Rhinolophus ferrumequinum: one gene and its partners. The protein of the gene in region 4 interacts with the protein of the main gene of each other region in a pairwise test. Links are inferred from orthologs where the notes say so. Each region holds a gene or a part of one and is shown on either strand. Other genes may lie near its edges. The genes, in order: FRYL, MOS, EIF3D and HOMER3.

The links.
Region 1: the proteins of HOMER3 (region 4) and FRYL interact in binary tests that used the Homo sapiens proteins (3 or more experiments, as listed by UniProt). The two-hybrid records come from large-scale screens. The link is inferred for Rhinolophus ferrumequinum from reciprocal best matches to the Homo sapiens genes HOMER3 and FRYL.
Region 2: the proteins of HOMER3 (region 4) and MOS interact in binary tests that used the Homo sapiens proteins (3 or more experiments, as listed by UniProt). The two-hybrid records come from large-scale screens. The link is inferred for Rhinolophus ferrumequinum from reciprocal best matches to the Homo sapiens genes HOMER3 and MOS.
Region 3: the proteins of HOMER3 (region 4) and EIF3D interact in binary tests that used the Homo sapiens proteins (3 or more experiments, as listed by UniProt). The two-hybrid records come from large-scale screens. The link is inferred for Rhinolophus ferrumequinum from reciprocal best matches to the Homo sapiens genes HOMER3 and EIF3D.

The regions. Positions count from the first base shown.
Region 1 is NC_046288.1:7,822,068-7,830,169, forward strand, and holds the start of FRYL (protein furry homolog-like), read left to right. Parts: upstream 1-4,643; 5' UTR 4,644-4,684; coding exon 4,685-4,886; intron 4,887-8,102. UniProt on the Homo sapiens protein: Plays a key role in maintaining the integrity of polarized cell extensions during morphogenesis, regulates the actin cytoskeleton and plays a key role in patterning sensory neuron dendritic fields by promoting avoidance between homologous dendrites as well as by limiting dendritic branching.
Region 2 is NC_046297.1:22,013,441-22,020,870, reverse strand, and holds MOS (proto-oncogene serine/threonine-protein kinase mos), read right to left. Parts: upstream 2,039-7,430; coding exon 992-2,038; downstream 1-991.
Region 3 is NC_046293.1:10,163,842-10,171,776, reverse strand, and holds the start of EIF3D (eukaryotic translation initiation factor 3 subunit D), read right to left. Parts: upstream 3,504-7,935; 5' UTR 3,358-3,503; intron 650-3,357; 5' UTR 641-649; coding exon 518-640; intron 222-517; coding exon 176-221; intron 1-175. UniProt on the Homo sapiens protein: mRNA cap-binding component of the eukaryotic translation initiation factor 3 (eIF-3) complex, a complex required for several steps in the initiation of protein synthesis of a specialized repertoire of mRNAs.
Region 4 is NC_046301.1:51,533,383-51,541,820, forward strand, and holds the start of HOMER3 (homer protein homolog 3), read right to left. Parts: upstream 3,294-8,438; 5' UTR 3,093-3,293; intron 3,011-3,092; exon of another isoform or gene 2,586-3,010; intron 2,167-2,585; exon of another isoform or gene 1,978-2,166; intron 327-1,977; 5' UTR 259-326; coding exon 245-258; intron 166-244; coding exon 9-165; intron 1-8. UniProt on the Homo sapiens protein: Postsynaptic density scaffolding protein. Binds and cross-links cytoplasmic regions of GRM1, GRM5, ITPR1, DNM3, RYR1, RYR2, SHANK1 and SHANK3.

The DNA of each region.
Region 1 (8,102 bases), on a different chromosome or scaffold from region 4:
TCTCAAAAGTAGTAGTATAAAATTAGTAATAAAACTGATTCTTCCTGTAGATAGAATATTCTCCAAATTAATCAAGTGGAATGAAAATAAAAGTGGGTTCCATGTTAAATAATATATATTGAGACAAGATGAAAAGCTGTTAACATGCAACCCCCAACCCCCGAACCAAGACAAAAACCATCCCTGCTAAAGATGATTGTAACCTATAAAGAAAGTCAGAGAAGTGTAAATCAAATTTTTTCCAGGATAACCAAAGACATATGTTTATTTTATCAAAAATGGAAGTTGAAAATAAAAAGGTTGTGCATCTTCTACTAAAGAGGTATTGAAAATTCTAGACAAACATTGGGAAGTCTTAAAATGATACAGTGCTCTGACTGTGTGGTTACAAGAAAAGAAAACACATAAAATCATGGCATTAGTTTTTGCTATATCTGAACAGAAATTTATTCAGAAGTGAAGCAAAACAAAAGACCTAGACATCGCGGTACAAATCAATCCTAGATGAACATGTTGCAGTGTCCTAAAAGTGCTTCATACTCCAGTAGTAACTGGTTTTGTAATTTGCCCTAGAAGATAAAGTGAAAAGTAGTTTAAATTTCATTAAGTATAGACCAGTGCATGACCGTACTCGACAGAAATAATATGCTATTTGTCACATAAACTTTATTTCCTTTGAGGGAGAAATGAGTCCATGAACCAACAACAAAAATAAAGTATCCAGAATTATGACAGAATTCTAGATATGTTGTTAGTAGATTCAGAAATATATGGTGTGCCAATAAAAATTCCAGTAGGTCTGAATGATATTAAAAACAAGTGCATATGAATTAGTATTTTATTCATATATACCAGTTCTTTGTTTTCAAAGATTTGATTTTAGTCACGATTTAGTTGATTGTGCCTGTGAGTAAATGGAAGATCATATTTTGAAACTTGGCTAAAGGAATTTCAAATTAAGAAGTTTAAGTCCAAAGTTAATATTTTAGAGAGTAGTCAGTTTTTTCTGTTGGATTGAGGATTCAATTCATTAAGTAGCAAAAGAATTAAGACACCAGCTATGATTTAAAAGGAAGTTAATTTGAGTTCAATGCTAGATTTAAAATGCGGCCTATGTAGCTATTGAAAAATGCCAACATCTTTAATGGTAATAAAAGTATGGGATGTGCTTTTATTACATGTGTGAGACCTTATGTATGGTCAAACTCCCTGTGCTCATTGGTTTCATTCTGAGTAACCATCCAGTTGTTACAGATATGGTACAGTTGTTCACAGTCCATGACCCTCTCACAGATATTGTAATTGGACTTTGAAAAATATGTATCCCAAACATTATCTGTAGGTGGGATAAATATTAGGCCTAGTGGCCATATGAACGATTTTTCAAATCTGTTTATTTTAGTAAATAACATAAACATGTCTTCAATGTATTATTGAATAATTAAGTTATTGATGTATTGATTCAATCATTGGCTAATGAAAGCATTACTTGTCAATGCAAAGAAAACAAAGGAAGAGGAAACTTGTAGATTAGAAAGGCTTTAAAAGACTTAGTAACAATTGCCTATATGAATTTTGTTTAGATCTGGATTTAGAACAAACTGTTTAAAAAAACACATGATATAGTTGGGGAAATTTGAGCACTGATTGGTAGTTGATGTTATAAAGAATTTATTAATTTATAGTAGACATTACAATGATATTGGCTTATGTTTAAAAAGCAAATCTTTGTCTTAGAGAGATGCATACAGAATTATCTACAAATGAAGTATAAGGTATAAGGTCAGGAATTTGCTTCAGAATAATCCAGAGTGGTGAGATAGGAGTTGGGAGTAGGTATATGTATAAACGAAACATGATTTGCTATGAGTTAATAATGGTGGATTCATGATACTACTCTCAATTTTGCATTATTTAAAAATTTTTCACAATAAAAATTCAGGAGAAATGTAATGCAACATTATAGAAAGAGGATAACTACAGCAGTAGGTGATACTGCTATGTAATATTCAGAAGACTGATGGATATGAGTAGCACACAAATGTGCTTATTGTAAACATATCTAACATGTGAATTTTGTATTTTGTTTTTCATCAGAGACGAAGCCATTTATTTGAATCTTGGATGATTAATACCTAAATGCTTAATTCACAAAACTGCTCAAGAGTCCCACAGTCAGGAGTAGATGATCCAAGTTACCTCCAAGAAATTACTGTCTTGAGTTCTACGGTAAGATTATAACAAAATTATTTTAAAGGTTAAATAGTGACTGTGAGGTCTTATAAAGGTTTTTGGATCTTTTATTGAGCCACTAGTTTCTATTATAATTTCTTAATTCTGAAACTATTATACCAGGAGTTCAAAGTTGTGATAATCAACCAAAAATCATAGAAATATCATCATGCAAACAGGCTTTATGGCATTTCCTCTTCGGAGATTCAATTAGTAATGCATACAGTTTTGTCACAGGAACGTCATGCTTTCTCCTTGCTGTATTCTCAGGGTGGGTCCTGTGGAAGCTGATGCCGAAAAGGAATCTTCTGCCAGGGTGTTTTTTGGGGATCACCGTCTAATAAGAGAGGTGGTGTAGAAGCAGGTTGGGCAGAGGAAATTGAACTGCAGTGCAGGCTCAGCAAAGCCTTAGCCAACCCTTCAGGGAATCTGGTAGTTGTGAGAGTTTCTTTCCCTTCATAAATAGTAAGCTTCTGTGGGTAGAGCCATATCTTCAATGCCTGTGCATCTTTCATGGGCCTGTATCGTAGTTGCTCAGCAAATATTTATTTACTGAAGGAAATCTGAGAAAAATCTTGTGGTCTCTTCAATAACACCTAATAACATCCTTGCCCTTCGTTTCCCCAGTTGAAAGTGCAGTCAGAACGGTGGGGTTGATAGTGACACAGGTGGTGGCTTGTACATCACGAACGGACACGAAGGTAACTTGCCCTGTACAAGCAGTATGTGCTGTGTACCATTATGTTGCTGGGCTCCACAGATAAGGAAGACCTGCAAAGGAATCTGAGGAAAACTAAAAACATAAGTTTTAAAGAACATGAGATCATATCCATAAAGAGGAAAAAAAAACCCAACAAAGCCTGGAAGACACAGTGATAATTTCTAAGCTGTCGAGGCATATGGATTATGGTTCTAACCGGTGGTTTCTTCTGTGTGTGGGGTATAGTCTGCTCAGATGTGAATTTACAGCTTTTCATGTTCAAGGGTTTAGAGAGAGAATCTACTTCTTAGAAGCATTTTTTAAAAAAGTTAAGCTATTTTCCTAGTCAGTACATTCCTGCTTTAAGGAAAGAAATATTAGTCCTGTACTTGACTTCCTTGTTTCTTCCCTGCTTTTCACCGTAGGATTCCTTGAGACAGGATTTGCATTAATAAATCCTCTAAATTTCCCCTGAGCCTTAATACTATATAAACGTGTTACATGTAGAGGACCTTCAATTAATGTCTTTTAAATAATGAAATAAAAAATAGTTGACTTTATATAATCAATGTGGCAGAAAAATGAGGATTAAAAACGCAGCAATTCAGAACCAGAAATTTGTTTTTACATTAGAACAGTTTTTCCTGATATCTACATAGACAATTTTATGCTTTATCTTTTAAACTATATAAATCATTTTCTTCATGTTGAGTCTTAGAAGAATGAGGTTGTGCTTCTGTCTCACTAAGGGAAATCAGATTTTTAAATTATTATCAAATGTATGTCCTCAAGGTTATAAATTTGATTGCTTAGGGAGTTTACGCCTTATCTGTTCTCTTTGGTTTTTCATTTCCTTCTTGCTCACTTAATATCCCCACCAGAGGGCAGGCAAAAGAAGGGAAAAAAGACGATATTAATTTCAGTTTTCAAAGTCTTATGTAGGCATCTTCCACTGCGATATTTTGTCATGCTTCTGGATTACATTAAGACAGTAGGATCAACTACTTTTGCTATTTTAAAATATTTAGTATAATGCCTAGTTATTTGGAAACAAATTGTGTAAGGTTGATTACTGGGTTTAGTGAATTAAATATTTATACTTTATATTCTTAGATCCAAATTATTTTAAGTTATCACTTTCTTCTTGTAATTTATGCCAAGGATTCAGTTGCTGCTATTGATAATTACAGTTGATTGTATTCATTGGACATTGGACACATTGGAATGTTCATAATACAATGTAAAGTTTTAAATTTTCCTTTCATGCCCCATGAAACTTGATGTTCCTGAGGTCCATTAGTGAATTTTTAGAATTAAGAATTATCTTTTGACTGCAAGTTACTGTTTCTCACTTCAGTTGTAAGTTTATTTAAAAGGATGACACACCGCAGACCAAATTAAATTTGTCTTAACATTATCACAGTGTAAGTTTTCAAAGTCTAAATGTTAAACTAGATGAATGCTGAACATTTTATGGTCTCAATATTGCTGTTAACACCCATTGTAGATGTACAAGTAAAGTGCCATTTCATTGTCGATAACTGTTTGGTTTGTTATCAGTATGAACAGCAAATGTTCTAAAAATCAGCTTCAGAACAGCTGGCACTTGACCTACTGGTGTTTAGCACCACCTCAGCTCTCATGACGTTTCTTTGCTCTTTGACATAAATAGTGTACCTTATCTTCTCATCAAGGAAATTGGTACAAGCACCTTTCTGTGTGCTCGTAGGTCTAGTAATGTAGAACCTTAAAATGGATTTTTTAAAGAGAGTTGTTCCTCCCATTCTTTCTGGAGATGTGGTTTGGGATACTAGAGATGGTTTTCAGGAAAGTTCTCCAAGATTACTGAAGATGAGATGTCTTAGTTTGCTTTCATCGGAGAAAACTGTAGATGAGGAAGATGGAATCAATTTCTGTCATAGAAATTATGACAAACACCACCACCAACAACTTGGTAAAGTAAAAATGTTTCATTTTCAATCCCTTAAAAAGTATTTTAGGAAAGTAGAATTATTTTTACAAGTATCAATTCTAGTAAGCATAAATCTTTATTTTGAAAATCAAGTTTAAGTATTAAAAATGTTAATACATGTAAATATATAGTTGGTCTAAATTTTTTTAGTATCAAAATTTTTGCTTCAAGTTTAGATGGAGAAATATTTGTGCTCTAAATCAAATAAAGCCATTAATAAAATTAAGTTTGGTGATCTTTAGATAATATGTTGATGAAGTGTTATACTTATTGAAAAAATGTTATTGCTATAACCTGTAGAATATGTAAATGAAAAAAATAAGATGCTGAGTTTTACCTATCACCACAGAAATTGTGTAAATTTTGTTTTTAAAATATGCCCCGTTCTTTTGTTTTAAAGATAGCAAATATTTGAGTGAAATATAAAAAAGTCACATCTTTGAATATAATCATGATTATTTTGTGTCACAACCTTTATTTTGTATAACCCTGCAAAGTTAAATTTAATGCCTTTTAAAGTTTGAGCAAATGATATGTGTTAGGAGAAAAATCAGTTTTGCTAGTGACTAGCAAATATTAAAAGAAGATGGAAAAATTCTTTAAATTTTTACATTTTTGGTTAAAACATTTTAAAATGTTAAAATGTTCTGTATGATTATAAAATTTTTTTATTTTCGGAAACCAATAAGTGCTCATATAGTTAATATTTAATACAAAGAAGAGAGTTTATGTAAACCTTATGCATGTTTGATATATATTCTTATAGTTTTAATGTGCACATATACATTTTTATTTATAGAATTTACAAATGAGGTTTACTGTCCTAACTGTGCTTTTTCATTTAATACATCATAAACATTTTCCTGCCTCATTTAAAATGCACAAAATTGTGTTGATGTAATAATTAAATCAGTCCCTTATTGATAAACATTTAGAATGACTTTAATTTTTAGTTATTAAAAATTATGTAATATCAATTTATGTATTACATTATACCTTTGTTGATTGCTTCTTAACATAAATTTCTATGTGCATTTAAAATTTTGATAGATAATGCCAAGTTACCTTTAAAAAATTTCTCAATTTAAGCTCTTCAGGGCAGATGAGTGTTCCTATTTCTTTGTATTCTCCCTAACACTAGTTCTTGTCAGTTTAAAAAATAGGGTAGTATTTGTGAAAAATCAAACTTTGTTTTAAGAACATCAATTATGTAAAAGAAAGGAGAGGGAACTTTTAAGTTTAAAAAGAAATATATACATATATATTGATATCTACAATGTACTGGTATTTGAAGTTTCTTTTTATACTATTCACTCATTTGGGTGGATGAAGTAGAGGTGAGGCCACTGAGGAGTTAATGCCTCTTAATTTCAGTTAAAATCTGGAAATCTTTCAGCACTTAGTTTTTTGTCTCAACAATGCAAATATGCATAAGTGAAAAATATGAATATATTAACATGTGCATTATTTAAGTTATTAAAAATTTACTTTAGCTTTTAGCCTTGAATCACTTAGTTGTTTTCTCTACCACAGCTTATGTGGTTGGATTTGGTTTTTAATTAAATGTAATGTGTTATGCCCATTAGTTTAATATGGCTCCTTTTCTAAAAAAAAAAGACTATCTTATGTTTTTGAGTATAGCATACATGTTATAAAATGTAATAGATTTTGTAATTTATATTAATTTTCACATAAGCACTCAATGTAATGATTAGGAATTTTCCGTAGTATACTTGTATATCTTTTTACCAGTCACAGTCAAAACAAAGCAAAATCATGGAGCACTGAAGAATACGTGTATGTTGTCTGAAATTTCAGAGGCTACAGGTTCTTTGTGGAATAACTTGCCCAGTTTCTCTCCAAAAATAAAATTCAACTTGAGGGAATGACTGTTAAAATTAATTTAAAGGACTTCTTTGGCAATTTCTGTAGAGAGATTTGGTTTTAAAGTTTCTGGTTCTTCAATTTCAGTTTACTGATCAAACTCCTTTTCTTGAATCTCAAGATTGATACTAAAGTTATATTGTATGTAAGAATAAAACGCAGGTGGTTCGCACCAGTCTATACAAAGGTTACTTGCAACTCAGCATGAATGAATTTTTACTTCCTGTTTACTGGTGGTTCTGGGATAGAGATAATGTAGTAGTTTAGCCGAAAGTCATACAAATATGACTGGGTACAGTTCTTCTAAAGGGTGTTATAGTATTGTTCATTTAATGAAAGGAGAAATCAAATATATGAAGAGATTTCATATCAGTAATGCAAAGAAGGAACTACACTTTTAGCGAAAAACTGATGTGTAATCTCATAGTTTTGTATTTGGATCAGTTGTTTCCAACTTCTTTAGTTGTTAATTCAAAATTTAAAAAATTATTTCAAGGGATGTTAGACAAGGTTGTAATGTGAGAGGATCAACTAAGAATGAGTTAGATTGCAATATATCGAATTTACTTGCTATTTTTAACTCCAGAAGTATTTTAGATGTCTGTGGTTTCTTGAACAAAAATATGGGTAGAATTTGCAAGAGTTGATTTTTTTTTTTTTTGCAAGAGTTGATATTTTGAAGAATGTTTTTCTTTGCTTTTGATAACTTTTTTTATTTTTTAACTTTCTGTAAATATTAAGTAACCTAATATTTATAGATTTTTATAGAAATTCTCAAACAACTCACTGGATTTATCATAAGTCCTCTACAGAACATATTAACAAATGCCTGTAGTATACCACACTATTCAAATTCCCTGCCACCATTTCTGCTCCTAATAGGTTGTGTTGTGTGCTTACCAAGAATGGATTGTGTTTTATACCAAACCAGATATATCAATTGTACTTGTAATATAATTTAATTAGGTGTTACATAATTCAGCAAAGTAGGAGACTGAAAAAAAAGAGTTGTTTTGGTGTAAGCAACTTTGAATGCTTTGGTCAGATTCCACACAGGTGAATTCCTAAAAACAATTTGCTTTTGTATTACATGTAGGCCAGAGAAGTGTACATGATTGGAAGGATTTTGCCCTCAGATACCTTAAGCTTCTCATTGCACTTTGAAGAAATTGAAACTGGAAATTGTAGATGATATGTATGTACATGGGTTGAATTTGGCAAGAAAGAGAGATTTACCTTAAGAGACAAGTACTTCGTACTGTCCCAGAAGCCTAGGGAATAAACATGGATTTTATATGTAAAGTCAAAGTAAAA
Region 2 (7,430 bases), on a different chromosome or scaffold from region 4:
CTCTGCCCCATTTTAAGTCAATAGTATTATCCTTGATATTTACCTTTGCACTGCTAAATTTGCTTTTACCTCTGACTTTGTCAACTTTAAATAATTTCTTTTGACTCTTACAGATGAAGCAAGCTACATGTTTATTCTACCTCCCGTCAGGGTATTCTGCTACAACTCAAAGACTTCCTTTATCAGTCACCCAAAAGGCCATATTTGTTTCCTATAAATGTGGGTTTCTCCATGCAGCCATACTTCTCCCTCCAAGCAAACCAAGCTCAGGAGGCTTCTGTGCCTGTCTTGTATTCTGGGATCCCACCCCCTGGTGACCCTCTCAATGTTCAGGACGGTATTTTGCTATCATGAGTTCTGTCATGGCTAGATCCTCATCAACACTTTCTGTTCCTTCTTTCTCTACCAACTCTTATAAGCTCAGCTCAGTTTGATCTCAGCTCCATTCTCAGGAGTTTCTTCCTTGATGTTTGCACTTCACAGTGGGCACCTGTGCTTTACAAACAAGAAATGGGGGCGGGGAGGGAGCAGGGAAAATTTAATCTTTGTTTCAAAGAAAGTTTTTACTTATTTGGTATGGGAGCCAGTAAACTGTTAATAGTTTAAATTTAGGTGGTGGGTACGGTGATGCTATTTGAATTTTAGAAAATTGTGGCATTTTACAATTCAGTTCTGTTTTGGACAAGTTGGTTTTATCAGTAACAAACTTAAATAAATGCAATACTATGGAACTGTTAAGTAAGCCCTCTAGCTGTGAAAGCAAAGCATATAACCCTATAAAAGAATAAGACTAGTTACTAACTACTAAGATGACTACTAGATTTGTAGCTCTGCTATTTGTCTTAGAAAAAGCATTTGAGACTAAAGGAGTATTTATTTAGTAACTTTATTTTCTTAAAATCCATCCTACAAATGTTTTTTTTCTACATCTTCACTTCTTTAAAAATAAATAGAAACAAAGACAAAAGCTTATCTTGATATAGGTTTAGAGTCAGCCAAATTCAGCTTTCAAAGAATTAAGTTCAACCAGGAGATTTTCTGCACTTGGCCTCTGGAATGCACTGGCCCTCCAGCAGCCCTGGATGATCTTCTCAAGTCTTTCCCCAGGGATGGAGTCAGTGAAGACAGCTGCTGAGAGAGACGGACGAAGATGATAGGCCACTACAGCGTAGAGCACGTACTGTCGCTCCCCCGAGTAAGGCACCTCCTTGGTAGTCATTTGCCAGAGAGTGATGGCAAAAGAATAGATGTCAGCTTTGGGCGTTACGTTCTCTCCTTTCAGGAGCTCTGGGGCTCGGTGGGTGTATGTGCCACCTAAGTGGTGAGGAAGAGTCTGGAAGCACAGATCTTCCAGCTTCTCAGAGCAACCAAAGTCACCAATTTTGCAGACATCCTGCTCACTGATCAAAATGTTAGCTGGCTTCAGGTCCAAGTGCACAATGCTTTGTGAGTGAAGGAAAAGGAGTCCATTCACAACATCTAGGGCATACTTCAGACACTTTGCCAAATTTAATTGCTCTCCCGCACAGCAGTGAGGCTCCACCTCCTCCTCCTCAGGGCAGCTGGTAGCCCCGTATATGACTTGGTGTAAAGTGACATTGCCACCAAACTCCATGATTATGGTGCCTAAACTATTAAAGCCTGCAGGCGTTCGCGTGCTGGCAGCCACAACCCCCACGATGTTGTCATGGCGAAGCCTAGCAATGTTGAGCTCAGCCCAGAAACTGCGCTGGGATGCCAGTCGGTTCTTGGTGCACCTGCTCACTTGCTTTATGGCCACTAGCACACCGTGGTAAGTTGCCTTGTATACCGAGCCGAAGCCCCCAGCTCCCAACCGCTGCAGGAAGCACACCTGTTCCCAGTCAATGGAACACCAGGCCAGTCGGCGTGGCAGCCGTGGGGCCCTAGGAGGAGTGGCCCCCGGAAAGAGCTTCCCTGCCTTACCTGGGAGCTTGGAGGGGCTACTGCAGGGCCTCGAGTCCACCGAAGGAGAAAACTCCCCAGGGAGGTAACGGCGCCGTGGGAGAGGTGAGGGCATCGCCCCTTCAAAGTGGACCCAGAGCGGCTCAGGTAAGTGAAAAGGAAAAACACTCGTGAGTTTGGGAGCATGACTGACTGCCTACTCCTTTGCTCCACCCCAGCGTTTTTCTCCTCTTCCTTCATTTTCCCCAAATGAGCCGCATCTGTGCTGTTACTCAGCAAGGGTTTCTATCAGATGGGAGAAAACAATCTGAACGAAGCACAGCAGTATCTTTCAGATGAAAGTATTTCCCTTCAACACTTACAGTGAATTCTTATAACACCAAGCTCTCAGATAAACAGCACTGAGCTGCCCCAGGAGTCACCCTTTACACTACTTTTTATTATAATAAAACGGGCTTTTTTTTCACATCTCATCCTCTGAACATTATCAGTTATCAGCCTAAAGAGACCACAACAGTGCAATGAAATTATTTCACACTTTGCAGACTGTAATGATTGTCAGTTATTCTCCAGCTGCATTAAATCACTTCCAGCAGTTATTGGCAGAAAGAGTTGAAATATGAACGGCTGACATTTGTTAAACCAATTACAGGGATAATTAGGTGCAATCTTCATATATGGATAAAAAATTGTAACCTTAAAGTAATCGATCCAAATAGAATCACTGATACAGGTCAAAACATAGACATACACCTCCTAAATTCAGCGCGGGAAAGGAAAAGTCTCTTATACTGCATTCAGCATATACAGCAAATTAGCAAGACTTAGCAACATATTGACTTCCTAACAATCCTTCCGTTCCACGGCAGTTCAGCCCACCCAGTAAGCTTGCTTGCAAGAGAGATTCTAGACTCCACAGCAAATGAGTTGCAGAAGTTTTGAAGCAGAGTTGGGTGAAGAAAAAAGAACAAAAATGATTCAGAGCCACGATCAGAGCTTCAAGTAATAATAAATATGAGAGAATCCTAGGAGAGGGAAAATCTGAAGAAATAAAAATGGCACAGAATCACTAGTGCCTGTATATAATGTGGAAAACCAGATGTTGAAATTAAATTCATGGTCTTGCTGTCCAACCATAAGTTTTTCCTTTCTAATTTTTATAATAAAAAAACTAATTTTCATTCCATATCTTTGGAAAAAGGACCAACAATATTACCCTGTTCATTAAAAAGCACAGGAAAATGTTAGGATCTACATTTTTAAAAATCAAATGGTAAAGTTTTATTAAGAATTTTTGTACTTAGAGCACATAGGTAATGTGTAACCACCTTTTTATGATGATAGGTCTATGCTTCTGAAATATGTTGGTTTTGAAAAGGTATGTTTATAAACACAAGCCCTTTTGAAGTCTCTTGAACTCTAAAATAGGATTTCTACTCTATACTATCCATTTGACTTAGTATGTGATATGGTGTGTAATAGTTAACCTGTTTAAGCCTCCATCTTTTCACTTAAGAAATTAGCATAATCATTATTAAATTTTTTATCTTGGAATAAAAGTTGGGGTGCCCTGGCCAGATTAATAACAGTAAAAATCTAAAAAATGTAAACTATGTGATATTTTAATAGAAACACAGTTAGATGAAGGTGTATCAGACCCAAAATATAAAAGGATAACAGTGAATAGAGTAAAATAAAAAAGCAATAAAATTATAATCTGTAATAAGTCAATATTGCAAAATTTATTCAATAGTCATCACATAGTTGGGATTATACTTTAGGGCTCTGAAACTGTTCTGTGTTATTAGGACTGCTATGACTATTAGTCGAATAAGAGCAATAGAGTGCCTTAACCTCCTTGGTATTGACACCCAATGCAAAACAATGCAACTTGTTATCACAAAAATCTATTTTTAAGATCACAGCATAAACAATTCATTTTTCAAAGTTTGATGTTATTACTTAAATAAAATATAAGTATTAATGAAAATGTGGTACTCTGTACATTCACAAACCCCAAGTTCATTAAACTTGTCATCTGCCAATCTGCACAAGAGTACTTAATTGAATATCCTTTTTAAAATATCTTCTGTGGCCAGATAGCCTGGGTTTATTACTGTCCCTCCGTTTCCAAATCTGCTGAATGAGGAAAATATGCCTACTTCAGGATTGTTGTCAGGATTAACATAGTTTTAACTACTTAGGTCAGAGCTTAATAAGTGATACCTAAATGTTAATTATTATTTATGAAACTCATTAAAAATGTATATGGGTTTATACCAATAAGAAGCAGATTTGTTAGATAGTATTGGTTTAGATTGTACCCTACCAGGGCTGAAGCAAGGCAAGTTATTATAAGCTAAACCAATTTGGAGTTTAATTTGAGTATTTTTTCCTGCACTTAAATTTTATTTGAGATTAAAGATAAAAGAGTATGTTGCCTTTTTATATGTTTAAAATGTGGAGGGTTAGCATTAATCTGATCAAATGCAATAACCTCGTCGTCCTCAAAGACAAAGAATAAAAGTTGCTGATAACAGGGTAGGCACTATCTACTCTAGAATTGCCAATGAAACAAAGGAGAGAAATTAAAGAGACTGTGTGCATGCACCTACTGAAGAGCAAAGGGCTCTCTGGTTCTTAGAAAAGGTTTTACATTTTCTGCTCTTTCATTGGCAGCATGACTGTTATGGGATACCTCAGTATCAGAGAAAGAACAGCATATTTATCACAAGACGTGACAACAGATACCGGAATTAATAGCTCATTGAATTCTATTTCAATCAAAGAGAATTCAGAAGCACTGGGTGTAGGAGGAAATCTATTGGTGCACGCGAAGGCTTGCCCACTGCGTAAAGGGCGTGAGTGCTACTGGCCAGCGTGGGCGCGGCGGATCCAGGGCAGCGCCGGCTGTAGGAGCGCCCTGCCTCGCCAGCCCAGCGCTTAAGAGCAGTTTCCCTGCCGGGATCCCCAAGTCACAGGAGTTGAGCGGCTGCTGTTCATGCAGCTGGACGAACGCCATCGCCGCCTCCCCTGCACGAGGCCGCACGCAGGGCTCCCGAGGCCTCTCTGGCCCTGGAGTCTGTACGCACCTCATCAGGAACCGCAGCGTGGTGGAGGCCGTGAGTGAGCTGCTTTGGGGGGGTGCCGAGGAGCACGTGGACGAGGCCGTCACCCCCAAGACGATGTGCTGCCAAAGGTCAAATGTACTCCAAGCTGCTTTGTTTCCTTGCCTTTCTGCATACACAGAATTTTATTTTCACTTCAAGTCAGAATCATCACATAAGCTCTTGGAAGACATTATTAAAAGGCCTTTAAAGTCAATGGTCTTACAACAACGCACAGAACCCCACTCAGGACTATCACCTCGTATCCTTATGGCCATGTCAGCGCTTGCGCACTGAGTGAACATCGTGCCACCCCGGGGACTATTTCCCAGTGATCTCAGGTTTCATCCAAATTTCAATGTTAAAATGTGAGAGAATGCTCATATTGGAGTCTTTGAAGTGTTTTTATTACTATTTACAAGCCTGAACTAAGGTTGAAAATTCATTTTTGCTTTTTTTAGAACTAAAAACTAAGATATAAAGAATACACGTACTTTGTATTGTATAGTCATACTTGAAAATTTTTTACTTATGTAGGATTGTACTGTTGATATTAATCTGAAATTTAAATTTTATATTTAGCAATATATCATACATGTGTTTCCATGTCAGTGCAGTACATATAGAGCTACTTTAGTTTTTGCAACATAATATGATCGGGCAGATCCAAGTTTTGTGGGGCCTAAAGTTTATACAAACTGGGGGATCCTCTTTAAGCAAAAGATTTAAAAATTAGGTATCTCAGTGAATATTACTTAGATGAGAAATCACAGCAACTTATAAAGGAAGAGGTGGTACATATATACAATGGAATATTATCCAGCCATAAAAAAGAATGAAATCTTGCCATTTGCGACAACATGGATGGACCTTGAGGGTATTATGCTACGTGAAATAAAGTCAGGCAGAGAAAGACAAATACTATATGATCTCTCTTATATGTGGAATCTAAAATAAACAAACAAAACCAAGCTCATAGATACAGAGAACAGATTGGTGGTTACCAAAGGCAGGGGCAGGGCAAAATGGGTGAAGGGAGTCAAAACAGTACAAACTTCCAGTTATAAAATCAGTAAGTCACGGAGATATAATGCATAGCATGGCAACTATAGTTAATATTGTGTTGCATATTTGAAAGTTGCTAAGAGAGTATATCTTAAGGTTCTCATTACAAGAAAAAAAATTCTGTATGTATGGTGATGGATATTAACTAGGCTTACTGTGGTGATCATTTTGCAAGACATGTAGCTAGCAAATCATTATGTTGTATACCTGAAACTAAAATAATGTTGTATGTCAATTATACCCTAAAAAATAACAAATTTAAACAAATTACTGAATTATACACTTTAAATTAGAGATACATGCCATCACTATAATAGGCCAAATTCTCTTATATGTTACAAATGTATGAAGTCCAAAATATGCACAGGTTCCCACTTGACAGATATTAACACTGGATCACATGGATCATGTCCCTGGGTGGAACCTGCACACACTATGTGCTTCTTTTGTTCATTCATGGAGGTTGGTCACTCTTATCTGGGATGATCATTTGGATTTTGGATTTTGACTCTTAAGATACATAAATATATGCTTACTTCTGTAACATTTAACTTCTAACTTCTCTACCTTTAAACTTCACAGGATGTTAAGACATACAAATGCCTATCAAACTGGTTTTAAAGACCTTTGAGCAAATGGTATCTTGCAAATTTTTTCACATTTTTAAGACCATAAAATGTTCATGGATATTTGAAATTGTATCTGAAATTTGGCACTCTTGAATTGCTTTGTCCAACTTATGGAATCATTCTACTGACATCCTTCTTTAAGGCAGAAAATACTTTTTTAAATTATGTATTTAATATTTACTAAATTTTGTATTTTTCAATGATAAAGTAAATGAATCAAAATAACATGTTGAAAAAAATCCAGAAGTAGTACAGGCTATTCAATTCACCATCTTTACTCAACTTTATTGTAATTTTTCTCCCATGTACCATTATGGACTCATAGCTTTCCATAGATTCGATGTGGTTTAGCCAAGTGCAATCATTATTGTGTTTTACAATGCTTCTGTTCTTTTGACACAGTCCCATTAATCTGAATTATTTATTGTATCCTGGTATAGCAAGTTACCCCCAGGCTCATAATCTACCCTGCCCCAGATATTGAATCAGTCATTTCTCCAGTGTATCCTGGGAAGATGGAATTAGAAATCATGATAGTGAAACTGGTACATTTATACAATGGAATATTATGCAGCCATAAAGAAGAATGAAATCTTACCATTTGCAACAACATGGATGGACCTAGAGAACATTATGTTAGGTGAAATAAGTCAAGACAGAGAAAGACAAATACCATATGGTCTCACTTATATGTGGAATCTAACGA
Region 3 (7,935 bases), on a different chromosome or scaffold from region 4:
CTTTTGGGGCTACTTCCAAAAAAATGTGGTCAGTGTCCAGAATCTAGAACATGCTCCTAAACACTGGGAGTTATTATCAGCAGGTTCCCATCCTAGAAGTTTCTGATGGAGGTTACCAGAAAAAGGAATGGTTTTCCCACGGCCCTGATCGGGCAGTCAGTCGGAGAACACTTACTCGTGTACCTCTTATCTTGGTACGTGGCGCCCGTCCAGTCTGCAACCTGGTAAGGGCAACAAGGGAAGACAGTGCACAGGTCAATGAGGCAATTTTCTGTTGACCCAGAAACCCCCAAAAGTGAGGACACTGTGGGCAAGTAGCAGGACTGGCTCACAAAGCCTTTGTAAGTGCCCAGCTGCCTGTGACTACTGGAAGTAGCCAGAGGTGACCACCTTTCTCAGCTGGTGTCCCTATCAGGAACACGGGAATCATGCTTCTGAGAGGATAAAATTGAAACGAACTCGTCGAGAGTAGCAGCCACAGCTTAAAAGGTCTAAACTCCTGCCGATAGGCAAATACCTTTCCTAGTCGATCTCCTTTGCTGAATGGCTGGTAGGGCATATCCCGAAACTGCTCGGGGACTGCACAGGGACCCCAGCCAGAGGGGTTGTCCTGGATCACGGGCGTCATGAACTTCGCCATCTTCCAAACCTTAACAAAATATAAATAAGTAGCTGCATGAAGAAAGGCCTCCAAGTAAAAAAGGCTTCTATTTGAGGTAAACTAAGACATAAATGATAAAATTAAAAAAAAAAACACCACACACAAAATGGAACCCTGTTAGTTACGCCCTTCTTGTGAATACTTTTAACTCAGAAGGCTGCTGACAAAACTGAGTTACCATATTTCATTTTTTCCCACTGGAACATCCTTGAAATCAGTTTGCACCTTATGCTCGATTGGGTGTCATAAATGACAGTTTTTCTTTCATAGTGTTATAATAAAATAATCATGCTTGGTTAAACTTGGTGGTGTCTCACAGATTGGATAAAATGTAGTAACTTTTTCTCAAGTGTAATAACCAAGTTCTGGTTCTCAGAAACACCTTCACCATGGCATATAATATTTAACTTCCCTAAGCCTCAGCCTTTTCATCTGTAAAATAAGTAAGGTCCTTATTTTATTTATATCAGAGGATCACTGTGAAAAGTCCTATTAGTTAACACACACGGAAATACTTTCATTGTAAAATGCCACACAATTACTATTCAGACTTGCAAAAATACATTTACATAGAGTCTAAGAAAAATAAGTCTGTGAGTATACCCTGAAATTCAACTTTCTTTTCTTGTTCTTCCAATTTCCTGTCATCAACGCAAATCCTTATGCAGAACAAGCGGACACAGAGCCAAGCAAAAGGCCTTCCGGAAAGCTGAAGAGATCACCAGAAACCTTCGGCCATCAAAGTGGCCACTGATCAAATGTTCATAAGTATTTTCAGTACCAGGCACTGTCCATTGTGCTTACCTGCAGAAATTCACTAAATCCCCCAACAATCTGAGGTAGGGGCCAGTATTATCCCCATTTTTTAGATAAGAAAATTGAGGCACAGAGAAGTTAAGAAATTGCCCAAAGTTGCAATGCTAGTTGATGAAAAATTTAAACCCTGGCAGTCTGGCTCCAGAGTCCACTCTGCCTAATGCTATAGCTCCTCTGAGGAGAGTAAAAACCAAGGACTCCCAACGGATGCTTGACAGACAGCTGACAGTTCCTGTCAAAAACCCATGTACCCACCATCCATTGCAAGCCTCTGAAAATGCTCAGAAGGTGAGTTCCCGGAGGAAAACTCATTACACAAATATTTCTGGAGGGTGGTGTAGGGACAGAGTCCCAGAGAGCAGTTTGCAGGCTCTCAGCCTCACGTGGAGGGGTGCTGGCTCAGGTAGTGATGGCCATCAGCTGTAACCAGTGAGCCATTTAGCCACTAATATAACTGCCTTGGCTGCGTTGGTTGGTTGGTTGGTTGGCAGAGAAGCGGACGGCAGATTGCAGATCGTGTGGCTCCTATTCCTGTGTCTCCAACCAGCCGCCAGCGAGAATAATAGTGGTATGACTCCTCTATCTATGGCTCCGTGGGTGTTCCTTTTTGGCCTCACCATGTCCTGCGTTCTTGTGTGGGGAGTGGGACCAGAGACCCCACATGACAGGTGGAGTGCAATCAAAGAGCACTGGATACTGAATTTAGTAAATTCTCCTCTTTGTCCCATGAAGGGGAGACTAAGGCTTCCTACAGAGGTGATAGCAACAGGAGCTGGGTGACAGCAAGAGAATGAACCTGGGAGCTGCATCCTCCAACTCTGAACTTAACTTACACTCCAGGAAGAGGACTGAGGAAGGGGTGGCGGTCTCAAAACAATTCACATTCAATAAATATTTACTGAGCTCCTAGTAAGTGTCAGGCACCATGCTAGATACGTTAGCCACTAATTCCCCCAACCAGCACTTAAAAGGTAAAAATCTGCAGCTCAGCCAAATCAAGGAATTGATCTGCCTATCATTTCAAAATCGATTTGATTTCCAGGGTTGTCTGCCATAAGTGCAGCATTCTTCCCATTATATTCTAGCTGCACAGCAGCCTCAAAAGATCTGGGGTTTTTGACCACATTTAATAACACAGTGATGTTTCAAAATACATTTAAAAAAAAATCTGCTTGTCTGCCAGAGCTCAGGAAGGAAATAGGCCCAAGGCTTGACAGGCATTTTTCCAGGGGGAGGAAGTCCGCTTTTGACACATGTAAAATAAGAGTGAGCAGAATGGAACCAGTAGGACAAACTGAGCTCTGCAGTTAGAACGGAGAGACAGCTATACAGGCTACCGGGGCAGAATGGAGAAGCACCCAGAAGGGGCTGTGTTTCTAGGGGACCACAGTGTCGTGCAGATTACTGCTGCCACTACAGATCGTAGGCCATCAATACCGGTGTGTGTGTGTTTCAAATCAGACCAGATCTACTCCATTCTAGCCTTCCATTGCACATTAAAGGGAAGGAAATCTCTGGGCTGTCAACTCCTCAGAGCAGAGCCGAACACCGTTCAGCTTGGCTCCCAATACTTCACTCACAGAAACTCAAGACAACCTTTGGCCACTTAAACGAGACCCTGCGACCCAACTGAGTTAAATGACATTATCAAATTCGTCCAGCCCGTGATCGCTAAGCGGCGTCTCGGGCCAAGCACCTCACCCACAAGGCCGTGGCCCGCATCCCGCTGGGCCTGGGATTCCGAAGGCGGATTCCTGCTACGCCCAGCGCAGGAACAGCGGGGACAAGAGGGGGACATACCGGGGGGGTCTCTTCCGGAGGCCTTCCCCGCCCAAGCCGGCTCCGGAGGTTCCCGGAACGCTACGGAACGCGCCACTCACCTGCAACGGCCTCAGCCGGCCCGGATGGCGAAAGATAGTCCAAGCCGGAGAGCTCACTACCAGCTGCACTCGGAGGAACCGGGAAAGGACAGAAGATGCGCGCGCAGCGACCGGCGCCGCAAACACGACCTGCGCTGTCGTAAAAGGCTCGCCAGCTTCCTTTGGGTTCGGCGACAGAGCGCGAGCCGTAAAGCGAAGGCACACCCGGAAATTTGTCACTGCTCTTTGCGAGGTGGCCTCGTTAGCCTTCCCGGCGCCAAGATGTAAGAGGGGTGTTTACAGTTACGTCATGGGGCATCCGGCGACGCTCCGAGAGGGCGTTCAGGTTTATTGAGACGTGGCGGGCGTGCAGCCCAAGCTGGAGGCGGTGAATGGCTGACAGGCCCTCTCTGTCCCACAATGCTTCACGGGACGCCGCGGCCCCTCTGTATCCCACAATAACCCAGGGGCACGTCGGGCGTCGTAGGCACATTTTTGTTACACCCCCCGCCCCGTTCCGCCCACTACTGTTACAGTTTCGGAAACTGAGGTCTGGAGGTGTAAAGTGACCTGCGTAGTTCAGCCTGCTAGTTGAGGGGGTGGCTGCCAGGGTTCAAACCATACTTTCGCAGTTCCCAAACTTTTTTGTATGACGGAGATTGCTGGAGCCCTAATTTGAAAAATACAGATTGCGGGGCTCACTTGCATAGGTTGTTACTCAGGTATGTCTGAGCTGGAGTCCAGGAACCTGCGTTTTCATTCGCCCCTGTGTTTCTGGAGTGGCGGAACCTCTTTCCTATAATGGCCAACGATGCTGCCCTTGCCGCAACTGCCAGCCGGCGGAGTTTGCCCGGAATCCTATTGGGGAATTTCAGAACATTGACGGAGAATCCGAGGGCGCGATTTTATTCAAACCTCAGATCCTCTCCCCTGCCTCCTAGGTTTCCTTATCAGCCTCCCAGCCTGTCTCCTGTATTGGACAAGAATATGCTATTAGACCCCAAACCTACTATTGGCTCTGCCGCTCTAGCTGTGTAGCCTTCACATTTTTGGGCCTCCCTTTCCTCAGTTACCTGTGACTTGGAGATAATATCAAGGGGATGCTGTGAGGGTAAAAAAATGTATGTGACAATAATAATTCAGCTTACCAGTTGGGTGAACTTGGTTATTCGATCTGTCCAAAGCTGTGAACTTACCTGTAAAATGAAAATGTTAATAGCAGCATCTGTTTCCGTAAATTCTCTCCGAATGTGCCCATCTTCCAGTTTTCCTAATTTTTTGTTAATGGTACCCCGTCAGCGATGCTCCGTGCAAAACCTTGCTGTTATCCTTGCTAGTTCCTTTTCCCTTTCCCACCGCATTCGGCCCTTCACTCAGTCCTCTTTATTCTACTTTCAAAATACGTCTTGACTACTACCAGTTTTCTCCACCATCTCCAGCCTCATGCCGGGACTCTCAGTGTCTAGTCTTGCTCCTCTAGGGTTCCTTTTCCACATGGTGGTCAAAGCAACTTGTTCAGATCCTTCTAGCAGCTTCCCGTTATGTGCTTAGAGTGAAATATGAATGTCTTCCTGTGACCTGTCTGGTCCGTAGCTACCTTTCAACTTTATATCCTGCCATTCTATACTTACCCTGCTCTAGCTACCATGGTCTTCTTTTTATGCTTCAAATACACCAACCTTATTTCCATCTCAGCAGGGCTTCTGCACTTACTGTTCCTTCTGCACGGCATACTCTTCTCCAAATTTACCTATGCTGGCTTGGTCTCATCATCTGTTGTTTCCACTCAAGAGTTATCTCAACGAGATCTTCTCTGACCACCATTCCTAAAACAGTGGCTCCTCTCTCCGGCCCTCTCACCCTCTTACTCTGCTTTGTTTTCTTCATAGTTCTCATCACGCTCTGATATATTTTGTTTCCTTGTTTAGGCTCTGTCTCTGCCTCTACAGTGTAGTGTAAGCTCCACCAGGGTAGATGGAGGCTTTGTCTGGCTTACCTAGAACAGTGCCTGGTAATAGACATTTGTTGAATTGTTGCATGAATGGATAGGGATTTTGTGAGAATTTTAAATGAGAAAATTAATTTAGCATATTATCCTGGGCATGTAAATAAGCACTCAATTAATGTTAGTGTGATTTCATATCAATAGTAAATTGTAATATATGCTAAAATATAAGAGGAGATGTAATTTTGCTAAATTGCTTGGATCATACCTTTTGCCTTTTTTCATGTTCTTTTTTTTTTTAATTAAAGTTTATTGGGGTGACAATTGTTAGTAAATGCCTTTTGTCTTTTATCTTTTTTTGCTGTGGGCCCACAGCCTTCTTCTGCAGTCTTTCTCTCATGTCAGAGTTTAATCATCTTTCCCATATTTTGGCCCAGATGTCCCTGCCCACCCCAGATGGAGGAGGATTTGAAGTGTCCTGTCTCATTCTCAATAGTCAGTCCATGGGTTTGGGTGGGAGTTGCCTCCATTCCTCCTCCCAGCTGACAGCCCTGCTGCCTCCTTCTGCCTATTTCTCTGTCCATTCTCCACACGATGGAAAGCTGGAACGACTCCTGTACATGAAATCAGAGCATGCTCACCCTCCCTCCCTCCCACGCTTAAAATCTTTCAGTGGCTTACTTTGATCCTGAGGATAAAAGCCCATTCTGTTCCATGGCCTGCAAGTTTCTAAATGGCAGCTTCCCACTGGCAGCTGCCTCTTTCTGGGTCAGACCCAGGCTCATTCCGGTCTTGAGACCTTTTCACCTGCTGTTCTCTGCTGCCTGGAATGCATCTCCCCTAGATCTTCACGAGCCTGTGTCCTCAACAAACAGGCGTTTCCTGACCACCCCTCTGAGCAGCCTTGCCCTGTCCTCATTCACTCTCTCATACCATGTGCCTGGTACGATTCCAAGAACTTACATTTAATTCTCACCACAGCCCTGGGAGGTGGGTCCTATTCTCCCCATTTTACAGATGAAGATATGGAGGCACAGAGAGGTGTTGTAGGTTGCAAAGTGCATTGTAGAGCCGGGTTTCAAACTCCGGAAGCAGCCTGGTTCCTGTTTCTTCTGCATATCCCATTAGTGTTTTACCGGGTGACTAACACTTATCTCCATTAAAATGATCTTGTTTGTTTACTTATTTATTGTCCTCTCATTAGAATGTAAGCCTCGTGGGGGGTGGTCTCACATGTCTCTTTCACTGTTGTATCCCCAGGACCGAGAATGGGGCTTACCACATAGTCGGTGCTTGGGAAATGTTTGTTGGATGCATGAGTGACCTCTGAGGACAGGTTTCTCCTCCAGGTGTCCACAGCACCTAGCAGAGCCCCCCAGCGCTGCACTTACCACACCTCTGGTTCTGTTACCAGTGTCCCCACCGCTCCTCCCCCAGACTCTGGGTTCCTCCAGCATGGGGCTGCATTCCTGAAGTTTGATGGTGCAGCACAGGGCCTGGCCTACAGAGTGTGGCCGGGAAATAGTTAAGGAATCGAGGGCCTTCTCGTTCTGTTTTCAGAGACTGTAAAATAAACAACTTTCTTGCCAGCAAAGTGTAGGTTTGAGGGCAGGTGCCCTTTTCTCAAAAGGCAATGGAGCTTCCACAGTGTCTTTCCAGTCCGGAGAGACACAAACACTGTTTTGGGCAATCAGATGACTAACTTTTCATTATTGCGAGTCACAGTTAACAAATATTAGCACAGCAGTTTATAAGTGACGAGGTTCTTACTTTCGGTTGAGCCTCATGACTACAGTATTTTAATACCAATTTTAGGGTAAAACGAGGCTGAGAGAGGTGACCTCACTAGCACAAGGTCAGGCAACTAGTGAGAGGCAGAAGAAACCTGGATGTGGTTTTTTCACTCATTCAACAAACATTTATGGAGCACCTTCTGTGTGCCTGGTCTGGAGCTAGGTGTGGAGAGGTAACAGAGAGCAAAATGGGTGAAGGTCTTGCTCTCCAGGACGGTGCTTTGTAAGTGGGGGGAGGTAGACATGGGGCAAGTGTACAGAGATGTGAGAAGTGGGTGAAGATGCTGCCACAGGGCTGTGTGTTAGGGAGCGATTTGGGGTGCAGCGCTGCTAAGGTGGGAGTTCAGGAAGGCATCTGTGAGGATGTGACATTTGAGCGGAGACTGGAGGACAAGGGGAGCAGGTCGGGCGGATGGCGGGGGAGAGTTGTAGTTGCAGAGGGAAGGGGCCCGTTCTGTGCCCACGTGACCTTCCGAGGAGGGAAGGACAAGCCCTTGGATGCCGAGACTGGAAGGATCCTCTTAGTCATTCATCTGGTCCACGCTTCCCTCCAGGCAGGCATTTCCTTGTCACTGGCCGGCTGGTTGCTGTCCCCTCTGCTTACATGTGCCTAGTGCTGGGGAGCTCACCCCTCTCATGTTGCTACTTTGCCTTTCACGGACTTCCTTTTGGTAAACATTTCTAGTTCCTTTGTTTATTTCTTGGTGTCACCCCAAGTCCCACTCGGTCCCCATTTCCCCATGCCTTCCAGTTTGTCAATTCTAACAGAATGGCCACCTCCAGATTCACTCCTCTCTCCTCCAGGACGTGTCTGCTTCTTGCTTGGCTTCTACCATCTGTTTTGGGGCCCTTTTCAATCTC
Region 4 (8,438 bases):
GCCAGGACCTTGGCACCCCCGATGCTGATGATTCGGTAGACATTGCGGGTGGCATCGTAGAAGTAGGAGACAGTGAGTGCGTGCTTGCCAGCGGGGATCCAGTTCCGCTTGGTGGCTGGGTCAATCTGGAACACGTGTGCCCGTGTGCTGAAGATGGGCTGCTCCCTGCGTGGGGAGAGGGCTCTCAGTGGGGGCTGGGCACCTCCAGGGGCTCAGGGCCAAGCCGGTAGAGACAGGGGCTCACCTGGCTGTGGACATTGGTCAAGCTGGGCTGGGTGAGCTCCAAGGGGCAGCCAGAGGAGTGGCAGGAGCTGCTGGTTCGGCCTCTGGGGGGAGAAGGGGCTTGTCAGTGTCCCACCAGGACACGCTGAGTGAGGCCAAGCAGGTCCAACCTCAGGACCCAACACGAGGTGCACCGTTCACAGAACTTCAATCAAAAAGGTGAGGGAATCAGTAGGTCACTCAGAGCAAGAAGACCTTGACTTTCTCCACCCAGAGAAGCCCCTACCACACTCTGGGCAGGAGATGGCTCTCTGAGAGGAGCCAGGTGGCCCCTGACATCTCAGCATCCATCTCTCATTGTCCTGAAGGCCAAGGCCAGCTCCCGCTCAGTATTTCCCCACACATTCACCCATCACTCCCCAAACCAGGGCCTCCAGCAAAAAGTGAGGCATCACCAAGTGCCTACTGGGAAACCAGTTCCCACAAGCCCCACAGAGGGACCCCTCCACTTCCACTCTAGGCCCCAGGCACAGACTTAGGGTCAAAGTCCAAATCTTCAGGGAACCCCATCCTAGTTAAAAAGACAAGATGTAGCCAAACAGGACCAATCACAGGTGCCCACTGCCAGACCACCATCAGCACTCACTCCCAATACCATGGGGGTTGGGCGGGACCCAGGATTGGGAGATGGTCTGCCTAGTCTCTGCTGGTTCCTCTAGCCACCCCACTCCCACCAAAGCCGGGAACAGCTGCCCAGGGAGACTTCCTGACCCTCCCGCGCCCACAAACTTGCATCCAGGATATCTGCAGGGGATCCAGGAGGGACCTAGGAGAAGGGGGGACACATTGGAGGAAGGGATGCACGGCCAAGTGGCCTCCGTGGTCAGAGGGGGACGTCCCCCCCCTTCCTGGGCAGCTGCTGTCCTGGTCACAGGGTCTGAAACCGGAGCCCCTGGTGGGGGAGGGGCGGCAACTCTGGCCGGGGTTGGGGGCGGGTCCTGGGTCTGGCAGGGGCTCCGCGGCGCGCAGGGGTCCCAGAACTCACGCCCTTAAGGCCAGGACTCTCCTGCAGAGACTTGCGCATTTGGGGAAAGTTACTCACCAACTAGTCATGTGCCTCGGACGCCGCCGGCGGTGGGGCTCCGGGAGGGGGCCCAACCGCCGGGTGCCCGGAATCCCCAATTGCCTGTGGGAGCGAAGCCCCACCCCACGCGTCCCAGTCGGGGGCCTGATAGTCAGGATTGAGTCCCCACCCGCGTCAGGAGCGGGGCGCCCAGTACTTCGGTTAGTGAGGCCTTCGACCCTGGAACTTCCGAGATCCCTGCGACGCCCCCGACTCCAGGACCAGAACTTCGGGGACCATTATCTGCCTCCTCCACCCCAAGGTCCAGAACTTCGGGGATCGTCCGCACCGCCCCCAATTCCTGAACTTTGGGGACCCCCTGCCACACTTCTATCTCCAGGTCTAGAATTCGGGGTACCCTTGCGCCGACCCCCGCCCCAGGTCTGGAACTTCGGGAGACACATTCCTGCGACGCCGAGCGCGGAACTTTGGGAATCCTTCGCACTGTCCCCTCCCCGACCCGAGCTCCGGAACTTAGGGGCCCCTGCGCCCCCGCAAGACCTGGAACTTCGGGATTCCTCCGGCTGCCCCCATCCTCCGTGTCCGGGACTTCGGGGACACTGGCGCCCTTCCCCGGCCCTGGAATTTCGGGGCCCGCGCGCCCCGACGCAAGCTCGGCCGGCCGGGCTCACCCTGCCTGCTGGGCGCCCCGTGAGCGTCCGGGCGGAGTCGGGTGCGGCCAGCGGTGCTAACTCCCCGCACCGGGCGCCCGGCTCTCTCGATGGCTCCGGGGCTCGCGCCCTCCGCGCCGCCCTCCGTGCCGCCCGCGCCTTTGTCTGCGCCGCCGCCGCCGCCCGCGCCGCCTCCGGTCCCATCGCGGTCGGTCCCGACGCGGCCGCCGCCCGCCCCGCCTCCCCGGGCCCCGAGGCCTCCCGCAGCGCCCTCTACCGGCCCTCCACGGTGCTGGGGGTGGGGGAGCCCATAGGAATGGGGAGAGGGGTGGGATTGGGGGTAAGGGCGGGGAAGGGGACTGGGGTGGGGGACCCAGAGACCGAGACGGGGCGGGGGGAGGTAGAGACACAGGAGATAGACAGACGGAGAACTACAACAATGTAACAAGACAACTGTGGCAATGCCAACAACCGTAGGGGATGGTGATCGTTGGTGTGTTATAGGATCCCTGAATCTAGGGCTTAGGGATGGTCGGGGTCCAGTTCCCACCGAATGGTGAGTCTGGTGGAGTTCCGCAGGCCTGGATTGCCGCTTCTGGTCAGAGGGAGCCCGCCCTTCATACACTTACCAGAAGCAGGTCCTCAGGGGGCTGAGCTGCGATCACCTCCCCAGGCCTGAGCTTGCCTCCAAGTTGCACAGTGCCGTTTGGCGGTGGGCAGAGGCAAGGAGGCCTTGCCCGAGGCTCACAGTTCCCTGACGCTCTGAGCTTTCTGACAACCTGAGAAGTTTTGCTTTTGGTCTGTCACATCTCCTTTCCCTCTTCTTTTATTTCTGTTTGCCTGACAAGAATCACACATCTAAACTGGTAGCTACTTTCAAATTACCTTTAGATGAATTCTAGAGACTTAGTCCCAGGCCAAAACCTGAGTTTCCTCCCTCCAGGCCTTTGCCCAAGCTGTTTCCTCTACCTGGAATGCCCTTCTGACAGGCATATATTCTGCCTGGTCCTTCGAGGCTCAGCTCCCCGCCCCTCTCCTCCTGGAAGCTTCTCTGACCATCCTGGGCTTGGAAGCGATCTTGCTCTGCCCTGCCCCACTCTCCTTTCCCTTTCTGTCGGATAACTGATGTGTGTTACCTGTTTATTAGTTCAGTGCGGCCAGGTCTGGGAGCTCCTGGAGGGCCAGCCCATCTTGGACCCCCAGCCTTACTGGGGAAAGAGGCACAGACTCAGTTTCCCAGGCTGCTTCTAACTTCACAAGGCATCTGTACGAGCAAAAGATTTGGCTTCGCTCTCAGGCCTGAAGCCACAAAATGCTTGAACACTGTGGGGAACAAAGAGAATACCGTCTGTTCTGTGCAAAAGTGACTTTTCCTTATTACCAAAGAAATAATAATAAAGTAACTGGAAAGGTGCCTGCAGGGCCGAGTCTTCTGGAAGCTGCTTAGGGTGTGCTGAGTGCCAGCCGGCTACAGAACTGGGGCCACGTGGCCATTCAAGGGGGAGGCAGGCGAAGGGCCCAGGCCAGCTTTCCTCCTTGTGTGGGCAGAAGGCAACAGCATGAGAGAGAGTGGGGAGTTGAATCCTTTCCTGGACACCCCTCTCAGGCTCCAGGAGGGGCTGGGATGCTGCTGGCCTTGAGCAACCCTGACCTGAAGTTGTCTTAGTCAAGTCCAAACTGAGGGAATGGCTTTGTCAGTACAGACCTGTTTTCTCACCTGGAGAATGGGCTGATGAGCATTGGCCTGGGGTTGGGGAGGAAGCAGTGAGGATCCAGGTGACACCAGCAGCTCCTCACTCTCTCTTGGGTATAGATGGGTAGGGGGCTTCCCTGAGCTGCCACCCTTACCCCAGCCTGAGCCCACTTCTCCTTGGGTCTATCCTTGCAGGGTGGGCAGAAGCACCACCCCAGAGTGGCTGACTAGAAGTAACAGCTTTCCCTTGGGACTAAGGAAGGACATGAGAGAATGAACAACCTGTCATAGGAGGCACCAAGCGAGGACTAGAATGGCTTGTTGGGCTCTAGGGAAGCAGTTTGCAGAGTGGCGCTTATGGCCTCTATTTATTGTGACCCAACCTTTGTACTAAAGCTAAATCTTCTGTCCTCTCTGGAGGGTTCCTGTCCCACCAGAAGAGGGGAAGTCTGTCACTCTTCTCCAAAGGGACATGCCCAGCTACAGGACATGAGTCACAGTGGCTACCTATATCTGTTGTGGCATGATTTGGTTACCATCCACCTCTTTCACAGCTCTGCCCAGCACCTAGAGCAAGCCTGACCTGCAGGAGATCCTCTGTAAATGCTTCCAGAAGGAAGGGATCGCTAGATCCCAACATTGGTCTTTGGTGGTCTCCAGAGTCACAGGAGCCAGAAAGTGACTCCCAGCCCTGCCTCTTACCAGAAGTGTGACTTTAAAGAAGCCACTTTCCCTCTCTGTGTCCTAGTTTCCCCACCTATAAATGTGCATAAGAATGGTGCCCACTTCTGAGGTTTCCTGTAAGGACCCAAGTCCTTGTATGAAGAGGGCATGATCCTAGGAGCTTAATTAATGCTCACTGTTATAAACATTATATTTATTCTTGGCTGTCTGGGCATGTGGTTTTGATCCTGAGCAAAGTTCTTAAGATTTTCTCTGTTAGAGGGTGAAGGATTCCAACCAGGTGTAAGCTCTTGGGGACAAAATTGGTCCAACCTGGTGTGATATCCTCTAAATATTTAGCTCTGGGTCCCTTATGTGCCCCTCCAGCCATCCTCCTCTTCCTTCTCCCCATTCCCCCAGCCATGTCCAGTTGAGCCAGCTACCAGAACTAATCCTCTGGGAAAACTCCTAATCGTCCCTCAACACCCCACCTCCAGTGTTCTTTTCTGTGAGAAGCCCTCCCTCCTCTTCCCCTAGATTTTCCCCAACACTTTCCCTCCTTCTGGCCCAACTCTGACCCCAAGGGGCTGCCGGTGTCTGTGTCTAACTCTGACTCCGCTACCCTGAGGCACCTCAAGAGCTGGGCTGAGGCTTCCCTTTAGCTTGGCGTCTCCTGGCATTGGGTGGATGCATGGGGGTTATGGCAGAGGAGAGTTTGATGACTCGATATTGGTGATAGTAACTCTGCCTTATTTTATATCTAACTCAACTTCTGCCCAAAGCTAAGGTTAATTCATTAAACAGCCCCCAGGAAATAATGGAGCCCGCTGGCTCAGGCCCAGGCACACAGGTGCTTGAGGAGGGAAGGGGTCCAGCCCTGGGTTATGAACTTGAGCTCCCAGGACCTGGGCAGGTCAGGGGTGGGAAGTGGCAGCACTTGTGCCCCCTCCCAACTCCAAACCTGGATCCCACAGACCTAATTACCCTCATTGCCACGTGCACTAATTACCTCTGTGGTGCCAGGTGGCTGGGCGGGGGCTGCTCCACTTTTGGGAGGTAGGTCGGGACCGATTATTTTTGGCTATGCCGTCCTTGAAGGCTCTGCCATCCACCAGCGTGAAGGGCAGAAAGTGGGGCGAAGAAATTGCGGCCACGACAGGAGGGACACTGGGAGATGTGTGGGTCGGGTTGGCCCAGGAGCTCCCTGAGCAGGGGTTTTGGCCTGAGGCCTGAGGGTCTTTGGCACATAGCTGGAGGTGGCAAGACCTGGAGGGGCTGAGAATCAGCTCTGAGGTGGACTGGTCTGGAGGCCTGTTTTAATCGTGGCACCATCGGGGGGAGAGGGCTTGCTGTGGAGGGCTGGTCAGATGGGCCTGGCTGGGAACACCAAGCACCACTGACTTGCTGTGTGTTTCTGAGCACATGACGTCCTCTCTTTGCATCTTTCCTGAGGGATCAAATGGGGATAATAACTCACACAGTGTGCTCTGGGCAGAGGGCACAGCATGTACCAAGGCCCTGGGGTGGAGATGGGCTGGGTGCATTGGAGGAACAGTGGGGAAGCCAGGTGGCCAGAGTGAGAGGAGAGTAGGGGATTCTGAGGGTTGAGGGGGTCACAGGCCAGGTGGGGCCTCATGGGCTATGATAAAGTGTGTTGGATTTATTCCAAGGGTACTTGGGAGCCATGGGAGAGTTGGGAGCCAGAGAGGGAGAGACGTGATCAGATTTACAATGCAGGCTCCAAGCTGGTTTTTAGCTTTTAGGAGAGAACCAGGTGTCTATATATGTGGAAAATGGGCGCAGAACCTCCCTGAGCCTCAGTTTCCCCATCTTGGGTAGAGTCCTGAGGCTTAGACAGCCCCAGCGCGCACACTGGACCCTCAGCCAGGGAAGCTCTCCTCCCCCCAAACTCCCAAATTCTGGCCAAGCAGTCTACATGGGCTCTCCTTTGCTTGCCCTGTCCTCCTACTCTCCTTCTGCGGCCTTGAAGGAACAGCTGTGGGAACAGAGAGCGGGAGGCCTCAGGGAAGGCGGAGAGGAGGGGCTCCGGGGGCTGTGTTCCTGCTTGGTGACAGCCTACGCGGGGCCGACGGGTGCTGAATGTTCTTGCAGGAACTGGGTGACTCACATGTGGCAGCCTCTTCCCTTGATCTGCTAGGGGAGGCCATTCCTGGTCTCCAGGCACAGACTGAAGTCAGGATTCACCTCTCTGGGACGCCCCCAAACGAGCCCTCCCTCTGCCTCCCAGGATCCCTTTAACTGGCTGCACTGCTCACTTTCCTGCTCCTGCACCTTTCATGGCTCTCCTGGAGGCTTCAAAGGGAGAATCCAGCTCCCTATCACCATTGGCTACACTGCTGGACCCCACATCTGAACCTCTGCATTCATCTCCAACACTCCCTCCTCCAGGAAGCCTTCCCAGACTCCCTCTACTCCTCCAACCCTGACCTCATAGGAGGGGGCTATCTCTGCCCCCACCTCAGATCAGGGCTTCTCAGAATCCAGGCTCAGGCCAAGGCCTCTCAGGGCCCCATCATCGCCCAGTGTGGGAGGCCACAAAGGGGACACTGGGGAGGACCCCTGCTGTGCTCGCCTAACACAGGACCCCATGGGCCCGACCTCTAACTTCATTTTTATAGAAGAGAAAACTGAGGCTCAGGGGCCTTAAACCAATTCTCCAAATCAAAACTGGCCAAGTGGAAAGCTTGGCTTTAAACTGGGTCTGAGAGCCAAGCCCTGCTCCCTGCAGCCTTTGGAGCCTTATTTACACACTGGTAGGGGAGGAGGCATCACCTGCCTGCAGGTGGACTTGATACAGTCTGGGCTTAGACACCCAGGGTGGGAGAGCCTGTCTCCATGGACACATTGGGGGCCTCCCTGGGCCTCTATTTCCTTCTCTGTAAGATGGTGGTTCCTTATCTGTTAACTCATGTTTATTGAGCACCTCCTGTGTCCCAACACTCTGGGAGGCCCTGCCCTGAGGGAGTGCACAGCTATCTGGTGCATAGACAGATGATTAACAGAGGAACAAGTAGGTTGACTTCCGACAGTTTATGCAAAGTAGAGAAAAACAGACAAAGCAACAAGCAAAGACCCGTAGTTGGTGAAGGCTGCTCAGAGAAGGGGAACAGCATGTGCAAAGGCCCTGACGTGGGAATGTGCTCTGCCCCTTGGAGAAGCATTGAGGACGCAGGTGTGGCCGGAACAGGTTGACTTGGGGGGATAGTGAGGAGCCTGGTGGGCAAGGAGCCTTTTGGGCCCCAGCAGAGTGTGGACTTTATACTCAGAGCCCTGGGGAGCCATGAAAGGCTTTTGAGCAGGAGAAGGTCAGGATCTGTTTTTACATGTGCTGGATAAGTTTCACCAGAGTGCCACATGGTAGATGGACTGAGAAGGGTGATCCTAAGACTTTCTTCCTCTGTTATCTGGAGGCAGAGGGTATCCTGGGTTGTGCTTGATAACAAATGACGGTTATCAGCCCTATTATTGTATCTTTGGGGTTGGCCACAGGCTCTGAGTTCATATCACTCCCAGGGCCTTGGGGAGGGAGTCTGTCTCAATAACCCCCTTTCTGTTCTATCTGGCCCTTCTTTCTCCTCTCTCTCTCTCTCTCTCTCTCTCCCTCTCTCTCTCTTTCTCTCTCTCTTTCCCTCTCTCTCCCCCCTCTGAAGCCCTCTTATCTCTGAAATTCCAGGCCTCCAACAGGACGGAAACATCTGCTTCCCTGAGTATGGATCCTGCAGCCCCAAGGGAGGTCACAGAAGAGCCTCCTGTCCCCCAGGCTGGGGGAGGAGGACCACTGAGGGAAAGAGAAAGGGTCACACATTATGCACTGGCTGCATACACAGGGGAGACACTATATACAGGCTGCATTCAGGGGTCTGCATTCGAGTCCTGTCCTGTCCTATTCTGTCTGGGAGGCCTGAGAGCGGTGGCCACATGATTTCCGGGTGGGGAATCACAGCCAGGCACAGGATGAGTGCTTGTCGATGGATCCAACAGGGCAGCATCACCTGCCTGATTAGCAGGACCCTGCGCAAACAGCAAATTCAGAAAATTATTCAGAACTTTAAGACAGTGACATCAGAGCGTTAAACTCAGAAGCTGGCCCTGCTGGGAGCTTTGC